2 linked regions of the Drosophila melanogaster genome follow. The gene in region 1 interacts genetically with each later gene. Each region holds a gene or a part of one and is shown on either strand. Other genes may lie near its edges.

Evidence for each region. A genetic interaction does not mean that the proteins touch.
Region 2: of ref(2)P (region 1) and Su(P), changing one suppresses a phenotype caused by changing the other (phenotypic suppression), as found in Drosophila melanogaster (one study listed by BioGRID).

The regions. Positions count from the first base shown.
Region 1 is NT_033779.5:19,539,849-19,546,664, reverse strand, and holds ref(2)P (refractory to sigma P), read right to left. Parts: upstream 4,198-6,816; 5' UTR 3,849-4,197; coding exon 3,677-3,848; intron 3,046-3,676; coding exon 1,564-3,045; intron 1,509-1,563; coding exon 1,363-1,508; 3' UTR 1,117-1,362; downstream 1-1,116. Other genes in the region: CG10337 (uncharacterized protein), read left to right, coding at 1-18, 240-462, 529-860; CG13081 (uncharacterized protein), read right to left, coding at 5,322-5,376, 5,439-5,616, 5,672-5,972.
Region 2 is NT_037436.4:16,609,358-16,613,907, forward strand, and holds Su(P) (suppressor of ref(2)P sterility), read right to left. Parts: upstream 2,843-4,550; 5' UTR 2,761-2,842; coding exon 2,006-2,760; intron 1,942-2,005; coding exon 1,535-1,941; intron 1,473-1,534; coding exon 1,381-1,472; 3' UTR 1,305-1,380; downstream 1-1,304. Other genes in the region: Prosbeta6 (proteasome beta6 subunit), read right to left, coding at 179-797, 873-961; CG4101 (uncharacterized protein), read left to right, coding at 3,219-3,482.

The DNA.
Region 1 (6,816 bases):
TTCTACTGCACAATCGGCGTAAGTATTTTGATTTCGGATATTAAAAGATTTAGAAACATATGTGAAAAAGTGAAAGTTTGAGGCCACGGTTAACAAATAATCTAATGGTTTCAAGGATATATATTTCTCGAGTGAGAGTTTTCTGTACCCGGAAGACCTAAATATAAACTGGTTTACTATCTCCTGAAATTTTTACCCGTCCTAAATCATTGTTCCATCTATCTTCTATTTCATTATAGTTTGTGTTTTTCATGGGCGAAGCATTGCTGGTCCGGAATAGCGCATATTTGGAGTCCTCGTTGGGTCCATTGAACCTCAACCGCCTGCACGCCGTCCTGGGGCTGTTGGCATTCCTGGTCGGAGCCGGCGGAATCGGAATCAAGACATGGCAGAAGCTGGAGCGCAAACGGGAAGACCCCAATGCCACCGTTCGTCACTTTAAGAGCAACCATGCTTTTTACGGTGTGTTCTCGTCGGTTCTTTTCCCAAATATAATGATAATTTATGCCTCCATCTTTCGCCCATCAGGTATAATCGGTTGTGCTCTTCTTCTGGGTAGCGTTCTGAGCGGTCTTCCGCTGTATTTCATCAACAGTGGCTTCGCCTTGAAAATGCTTCATCGATTTTTCGGATTGTCCGGATTCCTCGTTCTGATGGTATCTCAAATGTTCGGATATAACACGGGATTCGGTCGGCGACAGTGGAAGGCACACCACCAGAAGCTCTTCAAATTTTTCACATTTATTGCCACCATTACGACTGCAAATTACGAACTCCGGAGATTTGTGCGAGATGTTGCCGGCTTGGCGACAGACTATTTTATTGGATCAGATGCAGCAGAAGCTAGAGAAGATCTTTGAGGCTCTTTCGACAAGCGAGTAGTGTTCACACTGGAATATCAATACTACAGGAAACGAATCGAATTCCGAAACACAGTATTGTGGATTTGTGTATCACTCAAGAAATAATTCGAGTGCTTTGCGGATTTGAACTCTGAAAAACCAGAATCGATTTATACCATACGTATAAACACATTATCTAAGTGGAGGAGGCTTTTGTTGTCTGTCAATCGTACTCTACTAAACAAAACCATATCAGGTATAAAGCAGGCATTTTAAATCATTTTACTTTGTGCCTTTATTGCAATTTCACACATACATATATATACGATAACATTTTGTTGATTATTTAAAACATAACATATATCTATTTTCACATTTATTTTGGCTACGAGATAAATCTAGCACCACAGAAAAACTAAGCTACGTAGTAAACTGATACGATAAAGTAAAATCCCTTTTTCATTGGGTTCTATAGATATTGAAGATACATTGTAGATATATCGATATTGAATATGAATATTTAGTTGCGGTTCTGCGATACGTTCATTACGTCCAAGGCAGCTGAGATATTGCCCTGAACCGACTCTAGGAGCTGGGTTAGCCAGGCGCCCTCGTTGCTGAAACCCATGGCCATCATGGCATGGATCGATTTATTGATGCTTTCATCTAATTAGGAGACATAATTAATACAAAGCGATTAGTTATTTAATTCGGCACTTACCAGTGTGGTAGACGGGGACCGTGCGCTTGTCGTCGGGAGCTGCTGGGGAGGTGCCGACGCTATTGGTGGTCACCGATGTGGTCGAGGTCGATGTACTCACCGTATCAACTTGAGCAGTCTGGGTGTTGGCCGAAGCCTGCTCCACGCGAGCCTCCTCATTCATGTGCTGACGCAATAGTTCGCCCAGCTGACCAAAATCACGCACCGGCTCCTGAGGAGCAGCAGTGGGATTGGTTGTGTCCAGATTGATCAAGTTACTATTGTTTGCAGAGTATGCATTGTCAATAAGCTGCCACTCTGGATCCAAGCTGTCTGAACGGCGTCTTTCCTGCTCTGTTTCGGTGGTGGTTTCCGATGGCTTAGGATTCAGGGGCTCTGTCTCAAGCTGAGCATCAGGGATCGAACCAGAAATTGATGGAGTGGCCGACTGGTTAGCAGATGGGACATTAGACTGATTAGCCGATGGAGCGGCAGAGGGAACAGCTGACTGGTTGGCCGAGGATGCCCCCGACTGGCCACTGGATTGACCCTGCTCTTCTGGTTTCTTATTCTCAGCACTGGGAGTCGTTGAGGGCGCAAAAATTCCCGAATCACCGCCCTCAGTGGTATCGATAATCTTGGAAAACATTTCGCTGAAGTTATTAAGGATTTCGATGCCAGCACTCATGTACTCGGGTGGCACAATCTGCGAAATGTTATCCAGATTAATCACTGGAGTAGTTGGCTGAGTGGAACGTGGAGTCGTCACTGGATCTTCGGTTCTAGGGACACTTTGATCAGTGTTAACCTTCTTCGGCTCAGTTGGTTTGGCCTCGGATTCAGCTGCCTTTTCAGCGGTAACAGTGGGCTCAGCTTGTGGAGGACTTTCAGTTTGTTCTGCAGCCTTCGGTTTCTGCGGTTCGGCTGGTGCCGTGGCCGTTGTTGTGTTCAGCGGCAAGTTGGTCATCATCTCGACAAACTGAGTCAAGACTCCGGCATGGCGGCGGGCCTGACGCCGTTCACGGCGACTATCCCTTGCGGGTTCGCCAGCAGGATCTGCCTGGTTCGTCTCCTGAAACGGGCAATGTCCCCTGGAGCGCCGGCCACTGCGGCGTCCCAATCCTGGACCTGTGAACCAGGCATCGACCATACCGGGTCCATTGTTGGTCGGCATGCGTAGCATCAAGTGCTCAGGATGCTTGTGAGCCAACTCGCATTTCTGGCAAAGATCATAGTTGCTGCACTGAACGCACTTGTAGCGGAACCCAATCAAGGGAGCCAAGCCGCAGCCATCGCATTCAACGGCGTCGTGGATGGTGAAATTGCTCGGATCGTCGACAGAAGGAGCTTCAGCGTTGGCCGAAGAACCCTCTTGCTTGGTGGCCTTTGGCTCCTCTACGGGCGCCAGTGGAGCCACCTGAACGTGCATATTGCTCTCGCACTTGGCCAGGAAAATCTCATAGTCATTTTGGTTGACTATTTCGATTTCATCTTTATCAGCGTCTGCAAAAGTTAGAATAGGCAAAGGAAAATAAAATCAATTATGAATCAGTGAAGTTTTGTTATCAAAGGTGAATCACTGAGGGCTCTAGTTAGACAAATTAGCTACAGTTGTGGTTGTACCAGCACAACCCGTTTGATCTATGTAAATGTATATGAGTACATGTACACATACTTTACAAATTAAAAAGCGCGTTAGATGTATTTAAAATATATATGTATAATTCGAGAATTCAGAAATATGTAAAATCAAAAATGTTTTGTATGTGTGCCATTTATGAAACAGTGCATCTAATATGTTGACCACGTTTGTACCATAAAAATATATATGTACATATTTATCAGCTAATGTGTCAACACAATTTTGCCAATGATAAGCATTGAGCAGGAATACTATCTAGGTGAATCCCTGCTTTGTTGGGCAAAGTACGCAATAATTTGGGCTGGTTTTTAAGTAACGAGACTTAAAAGCTAAATGGTCAGCACTGCTCGGACGGATGCAGTTATGTATGGAAACGAATGTACTTATACCATGCACATATGTTGCAATCTTTGCGACTCGATTGCAATTGCGAATAACTGTTTGTATGTATAGCAAACATTCACTCTGCGGCATTTTCATTGTAAAACTCACCGATCCAGAAGGTCCTTACGTCGCATTTGGGTAACTGGCGCTCCTGGAAAAGATACAGCTCGATTTCGCGACGCAATATGGTGTAATTCTGGGAGGGCATCCGCAGGTATGCATTTATCTTTTTCTGGGGTCCAGCGCCCTGGTAGGTGATTTTCAACAGCTTCTCCGGCATTTTCGCAACGTATTCTGTAGTTTCGACAGACTTTTGAATATATGTATGTATATATATCGATGCTGACGCTTTTATTCTCGTTTAACTTGTTGCGGCGAATTTATGTGACGGATTCTATTAATTTGGAGCTCTCGACTACTGCGTAGTTTTTGTTCGGCCGTTCGATTGTGTATACAAGTGCAGCTGGGTGAGAGCAGGTATATATACTAGGCGAACTAGTTGCTGGAAGGTTCTTGAATGAGTGAGGCTCAAATTGTTGCAAATCACGGTGCTGCCTGCTGGGCTGCACTAGTTAATCTATCCCCAAAATTGTATTGTAATGCCAAAGCTGGTCTTTGGCAAAGATTAATAATACTTCGGTTATCGATAATGAAAATATTTTTACGCGGCTCTATCGAACTCACCACTTTTAGTATTTTTACATTCACATTTTGCTTTACATAAAATTTCGCCAGAATATCGATATTTTTACCCATTAAAACTTCACACATACATACGTCAGTTTCTTATCGATATCGAAATCAGCAAACCCGAAATATTGAAAACCTAATCTAAAGATGGTTTTGTTTTATGAAACTTGGCAATCTAGGTAATCTAAAATGATGCCTCTGCGTTCGTAATTTTCTTCGGAACTATAAAAATGGGAGGCAATAAAACGGTCAATCTGAACTGGGGTAATTGGAGGTTTTTCAAGATGTTTTGAATTCCGTCGTAATGCATTCCCTAGTAATATTGATAGGTATCAAACTGGAGAAGGTGAAGGGTGATATTTATATCTAAAACATATAAAGGATGGCGTCCTAATCATTCAATCCTTCAAAGGATTGAACTTCCAAATCGCGAGGTTCACGTGAACATTATTTCCGAATATACATATATATCTTGATATCACACGAAATTGCCTTCACGAATCTTTACTGAATGAGACTGGATTTATTCGCGGTCTTAAAAGCTTTGAAAACAATGTCCTCATGGAAATTAATCAATCGATGATGAAAATCAAAACAGAAAAAAAACAGAAATCAATTGTCCGGGATCTAAAGAAAATAGGAATGAAAAGCATATGATTTCGGAGTTCTCAAATCGGACGATCTGCAGATATCCACTATTGGATGCCGAGTCTTGCTTGCAAATTAGCTCCGCTTTCGAGGATTCATCTCCAGACTGAGCTTTCTATTGGATTCCCAGAAAATTTTAATTTTTTTTATAAAGATAGTTGACACACTAAGTTAAAATAAAAAAAAAAAAACATCGTATGTCATGCTTTTCAATATTTATATATTTTGAATGGAAAAGTGATGGATGTTTAAAATACCAAGTACTGTACAGTGATTTTGAACTTTTTAAATATTGTTCAGTGGAACAGCACCAATGGGATCAACGGAAATTTAAATTCGAAGAATGATTTTATTTGCTATGTATTTTCCAAGAACTTAGGACTAATTTCTTGTCATAGTATCTAAAGATATCATTTTAGGCCTTAGAACTTTTGAGCATCTTAAGCAATTGGAGCAGTTGAGTTGGAGATCTGAGCAAAAACCATCTTTTAATTAGTTTCTAAGCAGAATTACATATTAGTGCTGTACTAACCGGCTGGCAGTTTGAGAAGCTACAATTTGATGTTGTCTGCTTTCCAAATTAATCTGGGCTAGCTCAGGAATCTTAGTTACGCCCTCGGTGGAACCAGAGTCTGTGTCGGTCTCAGGATCCCTCTCGTACATCTGAGTTGAATCTGGATCCGGTGTAGATTGGCGCAACAACATTTCACCTGGCGTGGAATTAGTGTTATGTCGGCAATTCGATTCTATTACAGTAGTACTCACTCAAGTAGGACTCTGCCATGGAGTAGAGCAAGCTGGAGCTCATTTGAGGCGCCATTCCGATGACGACCCCATCCACTTTGAACTGATAGTTCTCCCCACCCTTTTGCCGTTGGTCGTATAGAATGTCCTCGCGCTGAAAACCATTCTCGGAATAGTCGTCGTATAAGACGTCCAGCAAGTCGCTGATCACGTTCCTCGAATTCCCTGGCCTAGTCTTGCCGCCAACGGGCTGGGCCAGAATTCTTCCAAGTGCCACAAGCAGCAGGGCGAACACAAACAGCCGGTTGGTGAACTTGCACATGATGTTGCCCAAGCGAAAAGACCGCAGGACCGATGTGCTCCAATGGCGTGCGTTGAATGATTCCAAGTTCTCGGCCGCTGTGAAGGCGAGCCCACCTGGACCACAACTGGAGACTGGAAGACCAAGAAAACCCGATTTATGGACACAGTTCAATGGCCGCCTCCAATCAGCCCAAAGACTTCCGCATTGCCAGGTTGCTGTGGGAATCTTTAGCTCCGCGCATTTCTAATGCTTCCCAGCAGCCACGTTCGAAGTCCGTTCCATTCGAGAGGAACTATCTGCCTTGTGTTCGATCTTCTCCGGCTCCTCATCTAACCCATTGTCGTTCGCAGATATCGCATTGAGTTTCAAGAAGAAACTTCTTTTTTTATTATTGTGATGAGTTATTTTCACTCATCTTGCGCCAATTTAAATTTGTTTAGTAACCCAATCTCTGTAAGCATGATTCCAAAAAAAGTTAACCCAATAACCTCAATTTGCCGCAAAAAGAAGTCCAAAATCTTTATGGCAGTGCTAATTGCCCCGCCTGCAATAGACACAGCTAGATCTCTTTCAGTTATCTAGTCTGGGTGCAGTTCTGGGCGCGGGTTCAATGACTTGGCCACAGGAAGGGGCTGGCAGCCACCTGCAAACTGGTTTCGCACATAAATCTCGCGTACATCGCAAACTATGGAGCACCTGGCCTTTGGCTCTGGACAGTAATTGCCGTTTTATGGCCCCAGGAAGGCTATCCAGACTCCAGCCTCATCCTTCAGCGCATCATTAAAGCCGAACTCGAACCGTTAGATCCAGTGCCCACTTCCGCCGTTGGAGCATCTACATAGAAGGTGATTTGCAATCTGAA
Region 2 (4,550 bases), on another chromosome or scaffold:
TTTATTTCTAGGACCAGCTGGTCACACTAGGCCGCATATTTTAAATCTCAAAGATTCGGTTTATTACGATGTTTTGTTGTTTTGGGTAAATACAAAAATTTGAAGCCAACTAACTTAGAATGCCTGGTTTCCACCGAATGCCCCTAACCAAAAGAAACGGCAACATCCTCGCCACAGGCTAGTCCTGACGCAGCGTCAGAGTTCGTACTTCAATTCCATCTTTGGTTATGATGTTGATCAGCACAGAGTCGCCGGTGTAGATGTCGCGCTCAGCGGCAGAGATGAAGGTGTCGGAGGCAACGCTCACGGCCCGCTCCTTGGTTAACTTGATCTTGTCGGCGTCTTCCAAATTCATGTTCTTGTGACCAATCTGGTTGTCCAGCACCGGTTGCAGCAGGGTGCCGGCAGTGCCGCCGGCGCGGTATGTAGCCTTCTCGCAGTGACCGATGGGATCGTAGGAGTAGACGACGCCCTTGCCCTCGTTGTCAATTCCAGCCAGAATGTTCGACACGTAGTACGGGAAGAAGCGGCGATTGTACATGGCGATGGAGAGCATCTGGGCCACGGCCTCAGTGGTCATGGTGCGCAGATGGGTATGCTCGTAGCTCTGCATGCGCACCTTAATCGATCCGGTCAACGAGAGCGTGTCCGCCCAGCAGCCTGCGGAACCCAACACTGTCTGGGGCGAGAGTTTAAAGAGTTTACTCTGCGTTCGCGAGTGAATGTTGTAGCCGCTGCTCAGGCGGGTGTCCGCTGCAATTACGGCAAAGTCATCTCCGGCGATGGCCACAATGGAGCTGTAAACAGGGAAGACTCCGGTTAGATGGAGACATTCTTCCACATCTCGATTCCGCTGGGAAATAGCAACTCACCCGCCATTGGACTCGTAGGGCGAGAAATCAGGATGCTTCATGCCGGGCACCTGGTAGTCCGGGAATTGCTCAAAGCCCAATCTGCTCATGTTTTGTGCTGAAATTCACCAATTAACTCGCCAAGTAAAAAACCAACGAAATGATTTGCAAGTTTGCAAGCGGCTAACCAAAATCACAAAATCAATGTGACCGTTGTTGAGCATCGGATCCAGCCTGCTTAAACGTTATCGATAGGTATACATACGTCGGTTTGGGATATTTTTATTAGCAGGAGGTATTTATTTAGTAAACATTTTTAATTTAACATATAAATAAAATAACAATATAAAACCTAAAATTAATTCCAATTTGTACCATAAACTTGCACTCCTTACGCGTTTTTGACCAAATATATACATTCAGATACCATAAACGAAACGGCAAACTAGATTTGATTAAAATGTATATTTTAATGAACATTTCGGTTATTTTCAACAATCTTTGGATAAAATAAGGGCAAATATTTGTTTTAAGCTATAGCGGCCATGTTTTCAATACGTTCTCTTTGCAACTGCCCACGATTCTTCTCCACCAACGCCTTGACGTCATAAAACCATTTACCTGCGGAAATATGTAAAAAGTTCGTAAAAAGGTACAAAACCCGAGAAAGAAACCTTATTTACCGATGCTGGTGTTTTGCAGACAATCCTTGAACGTCTGACACCCCTCCATGCTTGAAAGCACGCCGAAAACCGATAGATCAGCCAGACTTGGCTGTTTTCCGCCCATGAATTTCGTGTTCCTCTTTTTCAGCTCAGTGGTCCACTGGTCAAGGGCATCGTACATGTGCGACCTGACGTCGTCGCTGAGGGCGTGACGGCGCTTCAGCATCTTGGCTATGGCCCACATGGCGGTGGCACCACAGTAAACCATCAGGTCGCGCTCCCATTTGGGGAAGTGAACGTCCCACTCGCCAGCTTGCGAGAACCACTCAAAAGTCTCTAGGGACTCGCCCATGGTCTGATAACAGTTGGGCGATATTAGATGCACCAAGTGGCTGTCGGCCCAGCTTCTCCACTTGCGATCGGTTCTAAGAACAGACACTCAAGGTTAAAAGATTTGATTAAAAGATTACTTGACCCTGGTTAACTTACTCATCCGTTTCCTTGGATACTCCCTTGGGCGTATGCTCGCGGTACATGAGGAAGTATTTATTCAATATGTCGTTCTTCTTTTTGCCATCATCGTCGAAGAAGGAGGTGTGCGGATAGAACTGTGCCAGCTCGCCGATGTCGGTGCGCTTGTCCTGCAGGTGGGTGGCTATAAGGGATATGATGGCACTTGAGTCCACCATCTGGACGTATTTGCCGTCCTGCTGTCGGATGAGCACCATCGGCACCTTCTTCACCGACGACCAGCGGATGTCCTGCCGTAGGACGGCATCCACTTCGACCACCGCATAGGATATGCCCATGTAGTCGAGGAAAGCGCGCACCTTGCAACAGAAGGGACACGTCTGGAACTGGAACAGCACAATGTCCAAACCGGACGTGTCCTTGGGGTTGACATAGCGCTTGGTTATCCGCACTCCAGCCGGAATCCCGTCCAGCCGCGTCGGCTTCGTCTCCTCGTGCTCTTTGTGCGAGCTGCCGTCTGTCCACCGCTGGTACATCGTATACACCGATCCGGTGGCCGCGCCTACGGTGGCCCCCAAAACTGCGAGCTTGAAAGTTCCATTCGGCTTCTTTCTGCCTCCGCCGTTTTCAACCGCTACAGCAAACTGGCGGCGTGCGAATGCAGCATCCGGATTCCGTTTAGTCAACAGGCGCAAGGCTCCACCTCCGCTTGCTGCCGGCGGGGGACGGACCCCTGCCAGAACGGTGGCAGACGCTAGCCGAATACATGACATAATTCGCACGTTTGTTTTGACTTATACTTAATATTATGCAAAAATTAGCGACTTATCAGCCGCGACTATGAGACCAGTGTGAAAAAATACCAAGACTTTTGTAGGGCTCCGGAATATACCATAAAGTTTTGAACATACCTTAAACGGTAACCCTGAAGAATGTGTTGGGGATGGGATATTTATTTCACTAGTGTTAAACTTTATAAAATGTATTTAATAATCCAGGTAATTGAATTTAAATAAAATCAAGCGAAGATTTTGTGCAAGCCTTTAAATACTTGCCGTTAATGAGCTAACAACCTTAAAACTTTGACCTAAAAAAGTTATCGATAGTTTCCACCTGAACTGTTGGTTCAGGGTACCATCTCTACCCAATACAAAAAACAAACTTTTTGTAGTTGTTATTTTTTTTTGTCTAATCCTCGCGGGTTTTGTTTATAAACAATACCAGCGCAGCGATGTCGGCTTCCGCGGACAGTCTGGGCGCCGCCGCAGCCCTGGACAAGTACGGCGACGAGGACATCTTCAGCTTGCTAATCCGATACGGGCTTTATGTGGGTGCTCTCTTCCAGTTCGTTTGCATTTCGGCCGCAGTATTGATGGAGAATAACCCGGATGGCCAAAGTAATCCGGAGTCCGGCGAAGTGACGGAGCGGGAGGGCGAGCCGGTCCGGACGCGCCTGCACAAGATTCGTAAGCTGGAGAAGAAGAAGCGACGATAGATGTAGCCATCCTTAATATATACATATGTAGCTAGCCTAAGAACTCTCGAATTCATTTATTAAGATAATTGTAATAAAACCTAGTCGACAACGATTAAAGTAGAAGCCTGCACACATTTGAAAACTCCTTCATGGGATTCCTACAGCAGGCTGAGTCCTGGAATGGACTCATTTACTCATTTAGGCACACCTTGAAACGTGATTTGAAATCTCTTTTGGTTTCGGTGGCATTCCCAGCGTGTGAATCATCTCCCCAGCCCTTGATCGACGTTTTTTGGGTGAGGTTGCCGCCCTGGCACGATTTTTTGCACATGACTCAGGGGGGAGCTGCACGCCCCCTGAGAAAACCACCGCCCACAGTGGAAAAACTGCTGATTTGTTTGGCTGTTATCTTTAATTTGGGAATAATATAAATTATAATAATCGTATAGTTATTATGTTGCTTGCAATGTTGTTGTTTCTTGTTTTACTTCCCTTTTAACTATGTACGTATGCATGTGTGTAGTGTGTGTGTGTGTTGAATGCTTTCTCTCTCTTTTTCTTTCTCTTGCTCTTTCTATATATATATATCAGTGTATATATAGTAGAGTCCATGCCGAAGGATGCACAGACAATTATCACTATGAATTATTATTATTTTTATGCAGTATTTAGTTTTCGTTCTTTTCATGAATTTTGCGTGGAATTACATTTTTAAGTCAAAACTCATTGTGAATCTTCAGTTTTTTTTTTTTGGGGCGCAAAAGGGGCGTGGCAGGTCAAGGCGGTGAAGGGATATCTCGTTTCAAAAACGATCAAATTTTAAATACAACAACTAGTTAAATGGATATCGAAAAAAAGGGTCTGGAAAGGAAGGGGGATTACTTCGCGGAGGATCGACGAATGGTTAAACATATCTGTATAATAGGATAGCGGATCTCTAGGCCCAGAATGTCTAAATGTGGCTATGTTAAATTCGAAACTCTCGGTACAGTTTTATTTTTCGGCGTTACGCTATTTACTCGTACTTTTTCTTGTTTTCTAATTCGCTTTATCGTTATTTTTATCATTATCATCATCAGTGTTGTT